Cricetulus griseus: one gene and its partner. The protein of the gene in region 1 binds, or shares a complex with, the protein of each later gene. Links are inferred from orthologs where the notes say so. Each region holds a gene or a part of one and is shown in the gene's direction. Other genes may lie near its edges.

Region 1 (4,578 bases):
TGTGCACTCTAAGCTTTAATATGCTATTGAGATCATAATCACCATACTGTGATTTTGCTGTAGAACTAATGGAAAGAAATGGGCTTGTGAATCCACTTACCACATTGTTTTGTAAGGAGTAGACTGCCTATTTAACTTAATAAATGATGGCAATTGAGGGGGCTGGAGAGATGGTTCATCGGTTAAGGGCACTGAATGCTCTTCCAGAGGACCCGGGTTCAATTCCCAGCACCCACATTGTAGCTCACAATTGTCTATAACTCCAAGATCTGACAGCCTCACACAAACAGACATGCATACAGGCAAAACATCAATGCATATAAAATAAAAATAAGTAAATTATAAAAAAAGAAATGATGGCAATTGATCAGTATGTAATCTTTCCCTGTTTCACTAATTTAGAGTTAGTAAGGAGACAGGCCATCTTTCTTAGGGTGAAAATATATGTATCATAAATGTTCAAAAATTCCTTATTTTAAGAAAAAAAGAGTGCTAAGAATAAATGGAGTAAATTTGAAAAATTCATGTTATATATTTACCATTCACATGTAATTTTAGAATTATGTTATAGAAATGGACTAAAGGAGATATTTAAATTCACAAGGCAATAATGCAGAAAGTTGTACATCTAAGTTGCTTTCCCTTTCTACAACAACTGGAAAGGATATTTTAACTGGAAAGGAAGAGTATATTGAACTTTGTATCATACTTTCTGCATTTTCCCTTACTTTGCCATCATTAAAAATAAACTTTTAAAAGTGAGTAGTCCCTTTTCCATTTTAAAACCTGAGTATATCCCCAACATTTACCACAGAATTTTGAATAAGTAGACTTATAAATGTATGGTATGGTTAAAATAGACAGCTTGAGTTATCTGGTTTACTGCACTTGTAAAATGATTCTTTGCTTAGATATTCCATGGATATTTGTCTGAATGAATAGAAATACTAAATAAATCCTGAATTCAACACTTCGTTCTATGGGAATGTAGGCCTGTAATCCTAGCACTTGGGGTGTTGAGACAAAACCACAAGTGTGATGTCAGTCTAAGCTAAATAATGAGAACTCGTGTCAGAAAACCAAAACTAAAACCTAAATTCCAAGATTTTAAAATTATTATTACTTCATTTATTTTATGGGGGAGGGACACACGGCCCTGTATGTATGAAGATCAGAGGACAACTAACTGTCAGTTCCCTCCCGCCATGTAGTATTCTAAGGATCAAAGTCAGGGCATCTTGGTGGCCCTCAGATTTAGAACTCGGTGCCTTCTTTAGTGTGATCATATTGTCAGTGTGGTTAGTGGTTTAGGAACTTCGTTGGCCACTTACTTATACTGGTAGGAAAATTTAAGTCCAGCCAGGTGGTGGTGGTGGTGGCAGCATACACCTTTAATCCTAGTACTTGGGAGACAGAGGCAGGTGGATCTCTATGAGTTCCAGGACAATCAGGGCCACACAGAGAAACCCTGCCTTGAAAAACAAAAATATTTAGTTTTCCTATACTATATAGATTTGTCATTACATTTTAAAGTTCAAGTAAATGGAGATTGTACTCTCAATGTCATACTTTGTTTTTTCCACAGTTGTTGCAATATATGATTATACAAAAGACAAGGATGATGAGCTGTCCTTTAAAGAGGGTGCAATCATCTATGTCATAAAGAAGAATGATGATGGCTGGTTTGAAGGAGTTTGCAATCGAGTGACTGGACTTTTCCCTGGGAACTATGTGGAATCAATCATGCACTATACTGATTAGGTTTTTATTTTTTTCCTTTTTTCTTTGGTTTTCTTTTCATGTAGGTTATTACTCCGTCATACTGTGGGACTATATGGTTAACAGAATTGTCTTAATGTTTAAAATGTGCCCATATTTTCAGGACATGTTTTATTGGTATATTTGGATGTCTACCTGTAAGCATACATTTTGGAGGCAGTTCACATATTGCTGAACAGCAGTTTATACCAGAGACTGCCTGTAATTGATTATGCATATGTACTCACACCTTGATAACTTTATGACCAGCCTAAATATTCTGGGGATGTGGTTTATTACGTTTAACAAATCATGGTTCAGAATGCACCATTACATGTTTCAGTGCAGCATGGTCACTAACATTATGTCAGACTAATAGGAAAAACAGAAAACTTAATGCTGGTGCTGGTCATACTTTTGGTTTAAATTCTCATTTTTTAAGAATACTGTGTTTAAAGCATGCATAAAATTTTATGTATTGAAAGATACTTAACAATTCAAGATGCTTCCAATTTGTGTAACATCTGGAGTACTTATACTTGAGTCTCTAGGTTCTTCATGTGAAACGAAAGATTATCTGTAATGTTGTAATTTGTACCTAAGTTTTTTAATGAGTGAAATTTACATTATAAATTTTCCATTCATAAATACATAAGTGAACCAAGGGAATTTGTCCACTCCTTTACTGGTTTGCTTTAAATGTGTGTGCTCATGCATATGCATGGACACAATCCCAACACAAAAGATTTATTGCAGAATTATGGTTCTATTTTCTCACTGTATTTGCTGGGAAATATTTTTAGCTTTATCTTAATGTGTCCGAATAGCAAAGTCACAGAATTTTGCAGATTTCGGAGCTAAGACATTGTGTCAAAGTAAGCACATCATCCTGTAGGTAAAAATCCAAAGGGGTGCCACGCTAGTCTTCGGTTTTAATGAAAATGAATTTACACTGGTTCAATGGAAGGAAAACGTTTTACATATTGTAAAGTGATTGCAATTAATTTGCAGATAGCATATTTAATCCATTACCTGGCACTAGCAACATAAGATTTTACAATTGGGAAAGAAAGTGGGTCATGTATTTCTTTGTAAACAGGTAATAAGCAGGTTTGTATTGTGGCTGAAATGCAACACATGCACTTTGTGTGTCTCCTTGATTTAAGGGAGGGTTAGAGGGATATTTCTCTTGTATATAATTCTGTTCTGCTTAGGATATTACAGTAGATCACACAAGTGTGGGTTTCTGTGTATTGAGGATTACAGATGTATGACAGCATAGTAAATGCGAGAGCAGTGCAAAATATTTCTGAAAATTAAAGACCATTGTTCCTACCAAATCAACAACTATTTCATTTATATTTTACCTTTGTTATTTTTGAAGTATTATGTCATTAGTGATCAGATAGCTATATTATGCCTTTTCTTTTTGAAGCAGAATGTCTTAATTTGTAAATAATCTGTTGTCTAAATTTTATCTACAGTCTTTTATAATAAACTATGCTCCTAAATGAAAAAATTTGGATATTGTTAAAATATAACTGATGTGGATTTAAATTTAAGTACAGACTTCAAAATTCTCTGACCTTTAATCCTATGATGAAACAAAGACAAACCACTTGAATTTTAACATTGATTATTTATTTGTGTAATGGCTTTCCATGTGGGCATTAACAATGTAAACAGGACCACACATAACCATCAGGATACCTCGATTAGAATTTATAGGACTATAATGACACTGGTTTAATTACATTTAAAAAGTTTTCTGAAAAACTTTGCCAATAAAAAAAAATTGCCCATCAATAAGGTTGAAATTATTTCCTAAAGTGATTTTTGGTTATCTGCACATGAAGCAAATAGTGTTTCACAAAATTCATTAGGCACAGTCTGGTAAAATAGCTGCCAGAAAGAACAGGAAGAATTGTCATTTATCTCTTGTGAGCACACTTTCAGAAAGTTGGATGAGGGCATCCCTTTCTGTGGATGCTCTAAGTTTCCTGATCTCTCTCACTGCTTCGTGGCAGTACTGCTGGGCGAGGTAGGTTGTTTGTTGCACGCCATCACTCTACAGGAAACAACAAAACAGACAGATCACTGATCAGCTCCCAGAATGCTGTCACAATAAACCATTAATAATCTGAAGTTCTTTCCAGCAAATGGCTTGTTGCTTCTATTTATATCCCATTTCATATGGAAACGCACTTTAGTTCTATTAGCACACACAGAAGCCTCTCAAGCAGCCAGGCATTTTCTGTTACATCTACTGAAGCATTACAAGTTTTTAAAAGTTGTATCTATATATATTAAAATGCCTTTCACATTGCAAATGACATAGCTCATCCCCAGCATTTCCAAATCTAATCATTATATCAATGTCTTCAGTTCTCCTGTAGATTACCTTTGCTATCATGTAGGACTCTTCTGATTTCCTCTTGTATGAGGACACCAACCACTGCTTCTGTCCTCTCTGTGCCATTAAAGATGGTTACATTCTGGAATTATGTTTCTAATGTTGGGTTTTCTAGAAGTTGGACACTAATAAAACTCCCCCCCCATACAATATATACTATGGAATTAAGTAATGTAATTCTCTTATATTTTGATTGTGAGCCCAGTCTTTAATGGATAAGCTGTCTCTCTAGCCCTTCTCCATGGTTCTCAATTGCTGTTATTTAGAATACAGTATTCCTAATATATGGTTGAAAAGCTATACTCAAAACAGGAGTTTAGTTTTCTATGCCATTTTGCAAAGAAGCATGCTTTCTCTTCTTTGGTGTTTCAACACACCTTGCTGATGAGCCTGTGCAAATAACATTC
Region 2 (5,222 bases), on another chromosome or scaffold:
GGGGCTGGAGAGATGGCTCAGTGGTTAAGAGCACTGGTTGCTCTTCCAGAGGACCCTGGTTCAATTCTCAGCACCCATATGGCATCTTGCAGCTGTCTGTTATTCCAGTTCTAGGGGATTCAATATTTATAGGCAAAACACCAGTTCACATTAAATAAATAAATCTTAAACAAAACAATTTGTCCAAACAAATAAGTTTGGACAAGCAGGTTAAGTGCCTGGGCCTGTGAGCTCTAGACATTTGCCTGTCTCTGCCTTCTATAGCTGTTATTACAGGTCGCCATCATCGGATCTGTTGTACCTTTTTTTTTTCCTCGAGACAGGGTTTCTCTGTCTGTCCTGGCACTCACTCTGTAGACCAGGATGGCCTCGAACTCACAGAGATCAACCTGCCTCTGCCTCCCTAGTGCTGGGATTTAAAGGCTAAAGGCGTGTGCCACCAAAACCCGGGAAATCTTTTTTTTTTTTTTTCTTTCTGTTTTTCGAGACAGGGTTTCCTCTGTGTAGTGTTGGAAGCTGTCCTGACACTCACTCTGGAGACCAGGCTGGGCTTGAATTCACAGAGATCTGCCTGCCTCTGCCTCCCGAGTGCTGGGATTAAAAGTGTGCGCCACTAATGCCCGGCTGGTGGTCCTCATGCTTTCAAAGTGGCACTTTACTGACAGCTGTGTCGTTGTCTCGCCACACTCCCTTTCTAAAAAGTAAGTTCAATACACTGCAAAGAGCCCAGAAGACATGACAGTAACAGCGACTCCTGTCATCCTTGCGTAAGAGGCCTATCTCTGCTATACAGACTTGCTCCAGAATACTAACTGAGCCAAACTGGATTGTCACATTGTCACCCAGATGCAGCATCTTGTATTCAATTAGCTATTGGGCAAGTGTCCTCCTATCCCCCACCTAAATGGACTGGAAGCAGACCTGCCTGGGCCTAGTGCCTCTATTTTGTAGAACAAAGTGAGAACTAGGTAGGCTGGAGTTGTCTGAAGTCGGGGAGTGAAGTGACACGTGACAGTGGCCTCTCAGAACTAGCTCCCAATTCCAGGACCCAAGCTCCAACTGGATACCTGTCCTTTAGGGTGAGCTGAAGCCTATGACTCACACTCCCCACCCGACTTTCGGTCCGGCCTGGGACAAGGCGTGAAGGGACATAACTATTTGCAACTCGAGGGGTGTCCACAGAAAGTTCATAGGCTCGGCCCGTTCCTTCCACCAAAAATACTGACTTTTCGGACTCCGATAAAAAGAAACTATCTTTCAACACAAGTTGGACGAGGTCTTGCACTTTCTTAGCTAATATTTTTCTACTCGAACTTGGGCGTCGATTTACCATCATTTCTACCTCCACTCCACTTGGTTTGCCCTAGCCTCTGTTTACTCCGATTGCGGAAGTCCTTCGGGTGGAGCTCCCGGGACACTATCTTTCAATACGTCTTTTGCGTACTTATTTAATTGGCATTGGATCCGGACCAATGGCATAGCTGGAAGCCCGGGGCGGGTGGGGCGGGGAGCCAATCAGAACGGTTGGCGGGGTGTGGCTGCGTCCCGGGGCGGGGAAACACGTAATGGCGGAGTCGGGCCGGTGGAGTGCGGCTGGGGGTGTAGCGCGCTGAGGTGGGCTCCGGCTGTGTGGCGGCGCGCGAGGCGGTGGGCTGGGGCGCACTCCGCGGGGACACGGGCCGGCCGGCCAGCCCTTCATGCCGCTGAGGGCGACTGCTCGAGGTCAGGTGAGCAACAAGTCCCCGCTGGGCGCGTCCGGCTGGGAGGCGCGAGCGCCGGCCGGGCGGCCCCTCAGGGTCCCGGGGCGGGGGCTGGGGGGGCACCGGTGCCCGCTCCGGCTGCCGCTGCCACGGTCCCCGTGCTGTCAGTGCTGTGGCGACACCTCGGGGGGGGGGGCGGCCCAGAGTGCCCTTCGGAGACTTGGGAGGGCCGGCGAAAAGTGACGACCTGTGGCCCTGTCACCAACTCGCCGGGTGCTCTTGAGCAAGTCACTTCCGTCTTTGGGCCTCAGTTTACCACTTGTAAAGAGACTTCGCAGAGGTACGTGAATTGGGTCTCAGCAGTTTCCCGAGGGCTTGGGCAAGTTCTTCTCCAGGCTGAGCCTCAGTTTCCATATTTGGACCACGAAGGGATTGAGGTATCTTTGAGGTCCCTGGCCCGCTAAGCTGGGGAGTGGGTAGAGCACTCTGTGTGTGTGCGCGCGCACGTGTGCACAGAATGAGCCGCAGAGAGAGGATCCTTGGCTGACGGGACCACTTGTGCCAAAGCATGGGTGCCACCCAGATCGTGACGGGCCAGGTTCCTTTGGTCCTTTGAGATGAGGAAGTTTTATACACAGTCGTTCATAGATTCAGAGATGACGAGGACGCCCTTGGAGCCTTTGGGGCTACTATTGTCATTTAAACCAAGCGCGGAAGAGGAAAAAAGCCAAAAAAAAAAAAAAAAAAGAAAAAAAAAGTTTATGGTTGTTCTACTATGCGTCAAACCTTCGGAATACATTCTTGTTAAGATTTTTTCTGTTGTCCTTAGGAGTTTACAGGTGAGGAAGCCAAGTTTCAGAGAAGTTAAGTAACTTGTTCAGGGCCATACAGTAATGCGTGGCAACGTGAGGGTGTTTCCTCTGGGAAGCACCGGGGGGCAGGGGTAAGTCACTGCTGGCTTAAAAGGGAAGTTTGCTTTGTCAGAAGTGGAGGAGGGCTGTAGCCCAGAGATTTGATTTCACTTCTGCTGTGGGGACAGGCGAGGTCTTGAGCTCAGGGTTATTAATTATAAGTCCATCCCCTTTTTTCACTCTGTGACTTAGAAAGATCCATTTCCAACTGTTAAATGTCACTTCGAAGTGTGTCAGAACAGCAGAGAATTCAGTTTGAGTTCATGCAGGGGTCCTGGAGCAGAAAAGTTCAGCTTTTGGTGTACAGACTTCTGGTTCAGGCTGGTACCATTCCAGTGTCTTGTCTCTCCTCTGTAGGAAGGCTATATTGTATTGGGAGGAAGAAACTACCCATCTGTTCGTTTAAATTTCTTTGGGTTCCTCAGGGTTAAAGTTTCAGTAGCCTACCTGTGTTTAAGCGCAGCATTTCTTTCTTTGTACTTCCCTTATCTTTCAGGTGAATGAAGACAGTGGACTTTGGGTAGGAGGAGGCTGGGTACCATAGCCCTTAAGCTTTATAACCCTCAGGAGGCTTGGGTTAATCAAAATAGTAGTTCAGCTGTGAGTATTGTTCTCATCTGTCAATGGTAGGGAGGAAGAGGAAGTTGCCGAGAAAGAGGGCGTTTCTTAGCTGTGGAGCCACTATGTATTTTCTTTGTTTGAAATTCTAAAAGCAGAAAAGCAGCAGCTAAAGGAGGAAGGAAGGGGAGAACTTCTAAATTCTGCTTCCTGTCAGAGAGTTTTGAGGACTGTCCTGGGCTGTGTGGGAGACACTGCTTGCCCAGGAAAAGGCAATTGGCTGGACTTTGAGGATGATATTCTAGATTCTGGAATCTAGAATGAAATAACTTTTAAGTCCTAAATCCTCTCAGGTAAATGTTTGAAGAACATTTTAGTGAGTTCTCATTGTTGATTCATTGTTCCCACCATACTTTCCAGTCTCTGGCCAAATTTTAACCAAGATTTAACTCTGGGTTTTTTTGGCATGATCTGACTCTGCTATTAGAGGACGAAGAGCCACCATCACTTGAAAAATATGTGTTTGGACATTTGTTTATATCTGTTGTTATTTTCTTCCCTCCCCCGCCCCAGACAGGGTTTCTCTGTGGCTTTGGAGGCTGGTCTGAAACTCACAGAGATCTGCCTGCCTCTGCCTCCCGTGTGCTGGGACTAAAGGCGTGCACCACCACATCCCGGCTATTATTTTCTTTTTAATGTTATTTATTTTTCTGTCCTTGAACTGGTATCTTTTTGTGTCTGACTCTCAAATGTTGAGATTACAGACATTGGGCACTACCATTGGATTTTGACATTTAAATTGTTTTATTATTATTTTTTAATGGCTATGAATCACCATATGGGTGTTAGTAACTTGGGTCCCCCGAAAGAGTAACAAGTGCTCTTAACTGCTGAGCAATCTCTTCATCCCCTTAGCACCCCACCTTCTTTTAAATTACCTGCATGTGTGTGAGTATGTGTAACTCCAGTTCCAAAGGATCCAATTCCCACTTGTGATCTCAGACAGCAGGCATGCTCATGGTGCACATGCATACATGTAAGCAAAATACTCGTACAGTAAACACTGTATAGTGGAGTTGATTCTGAGTGTTATGTGGAAAACTTTTTCTTTTCTGTGACATAAAACTTTTTTTTTTTTTCAAGACAGGGTTTCTCTGTATTGCTTTGGAGTCTGTCCTGTAGACCAGGCTGACCTCGAACTCACAGAGGTCTGCCTGTCTCTGCCTCCTGAGTGCTGTGATTAAAGGTGTGAGCCACCAATGCCTGGCTTGACATAAAACTTTTACTTTAGTTAAAATCTGTCTGATGTGCATTTTCTCTTAGGTACCAGAATATATCTTTTAGTACTCTCTCTGTACTAGCTTTTAGATGCTAAAATGACCCTCTCTCCCTTGTCTTTATTTGTGGTGCTGATGATGGAACTCCATTGTGTCTGCTAAGCAGGTGTGATTTACCGCTGAGCTACATCGCCAGCCCTTTCTGTCCCCCCTTTTATAAATAATAATTTATAGGTTCTTTGCTCTCTTTGTTTTCTATAGCTATTGAGAGAAATAGTACCTTTTTCTGAACACCCGAGAGAAAGATGATTTGTGCTAGCAGGATTTTAGAGCTGGTTTGTTTTTTGTTTTTTTGTTTTTTTTTTTTTTCTTCTTCAGGGTTGTGCTTAGTGTAATATGGGGTAATCATTAGTAGATGGAATTTGGGTCAATTTTTCCTTTTCTTTTTTTCCTGGTGCTTTCAGACAAGGTCTATTTTCCATAAGCTTGCCTGGAACTAGCTGTGCAGCTGAGGATGGCCTTGAACTCTTGATCCCTGTACCTTCACCTCCCAAGTGCTGGGTCCCGAGGTTTGTGCCACTGTACTCAGTTTTTGTGGTGCTGGGGATTGAACCTAGGATTTCAGTGGATGCTAGGCAAGCACTCTTTCAATTAAACTACATCCTCAGTCATACTGTATGTATCCTAAGCTTTTCTGAGCTACCCCTACTATAGAATGAAGTTCATTGTTTGTCAATGAAGGATTTCTTCTCTTTATAAGAACCCCCACGACAACA

The links. Proteins that work in one complex are often made in the same cells at the same time.
Region 2: Abi1 (region 1) and Wasf2 share a complex: the UniProt entries of both Homo sapiens proteins name them as parts of the WAVE2 complex. The link is inferred for Cricetulus griseus from reciprocal best matches to the Homo sapiens genes ABI1 and WASF2.

Annotation. Positions count from the first base shown.
Region 1 is NC_048596.1:211,243,134-211,247,711, forward strand, and holds the end of Abi1 (abl interactor 1), read left to right. Parts: intron 1-1,585; coding exon 1,586-1,761; 3' UTR 1,762-3,277; downstream 3,278-4,578. Other genes in the region: Pdss1 (decaprenyl-diphosphate synthase subunit 1), read right to left, coding at 3,686-3,826. UniProt on the Homo sapiens protein: May act in negative regulation of cell growth and transformation by interacting with nonreceptor tyrosine kinases ABL1 and/or ABL2. May play a role in regulation of EGF-induced Erk pathway activation. Involved in cytoskeletal reorganization and EGFR signaling.
Region 2 is NC_048595.1:20,138,479-20,143,700, reverse strand, and holds the start of Wasf2 (wiskott-Aldrich syndrome protein family member 2), read left to right. Parts: upstream 1-1,541; 5' UTR 1,542-1,722; exon of another isoform or gene 1,723-1,727; intron 1,728-1,911; exon of another isoform or gene 1,912-2,040; intron 2,041-5,222. UniProt on the Homo sapiens protein: Downstream effector molecule involved in the transmission of signals from tyrosine kinase receptors and small GTPases to the actin cytoskeleton. Promotes formation of actin filaments. Part of the WAVE complex that regulates lamellipodia formation.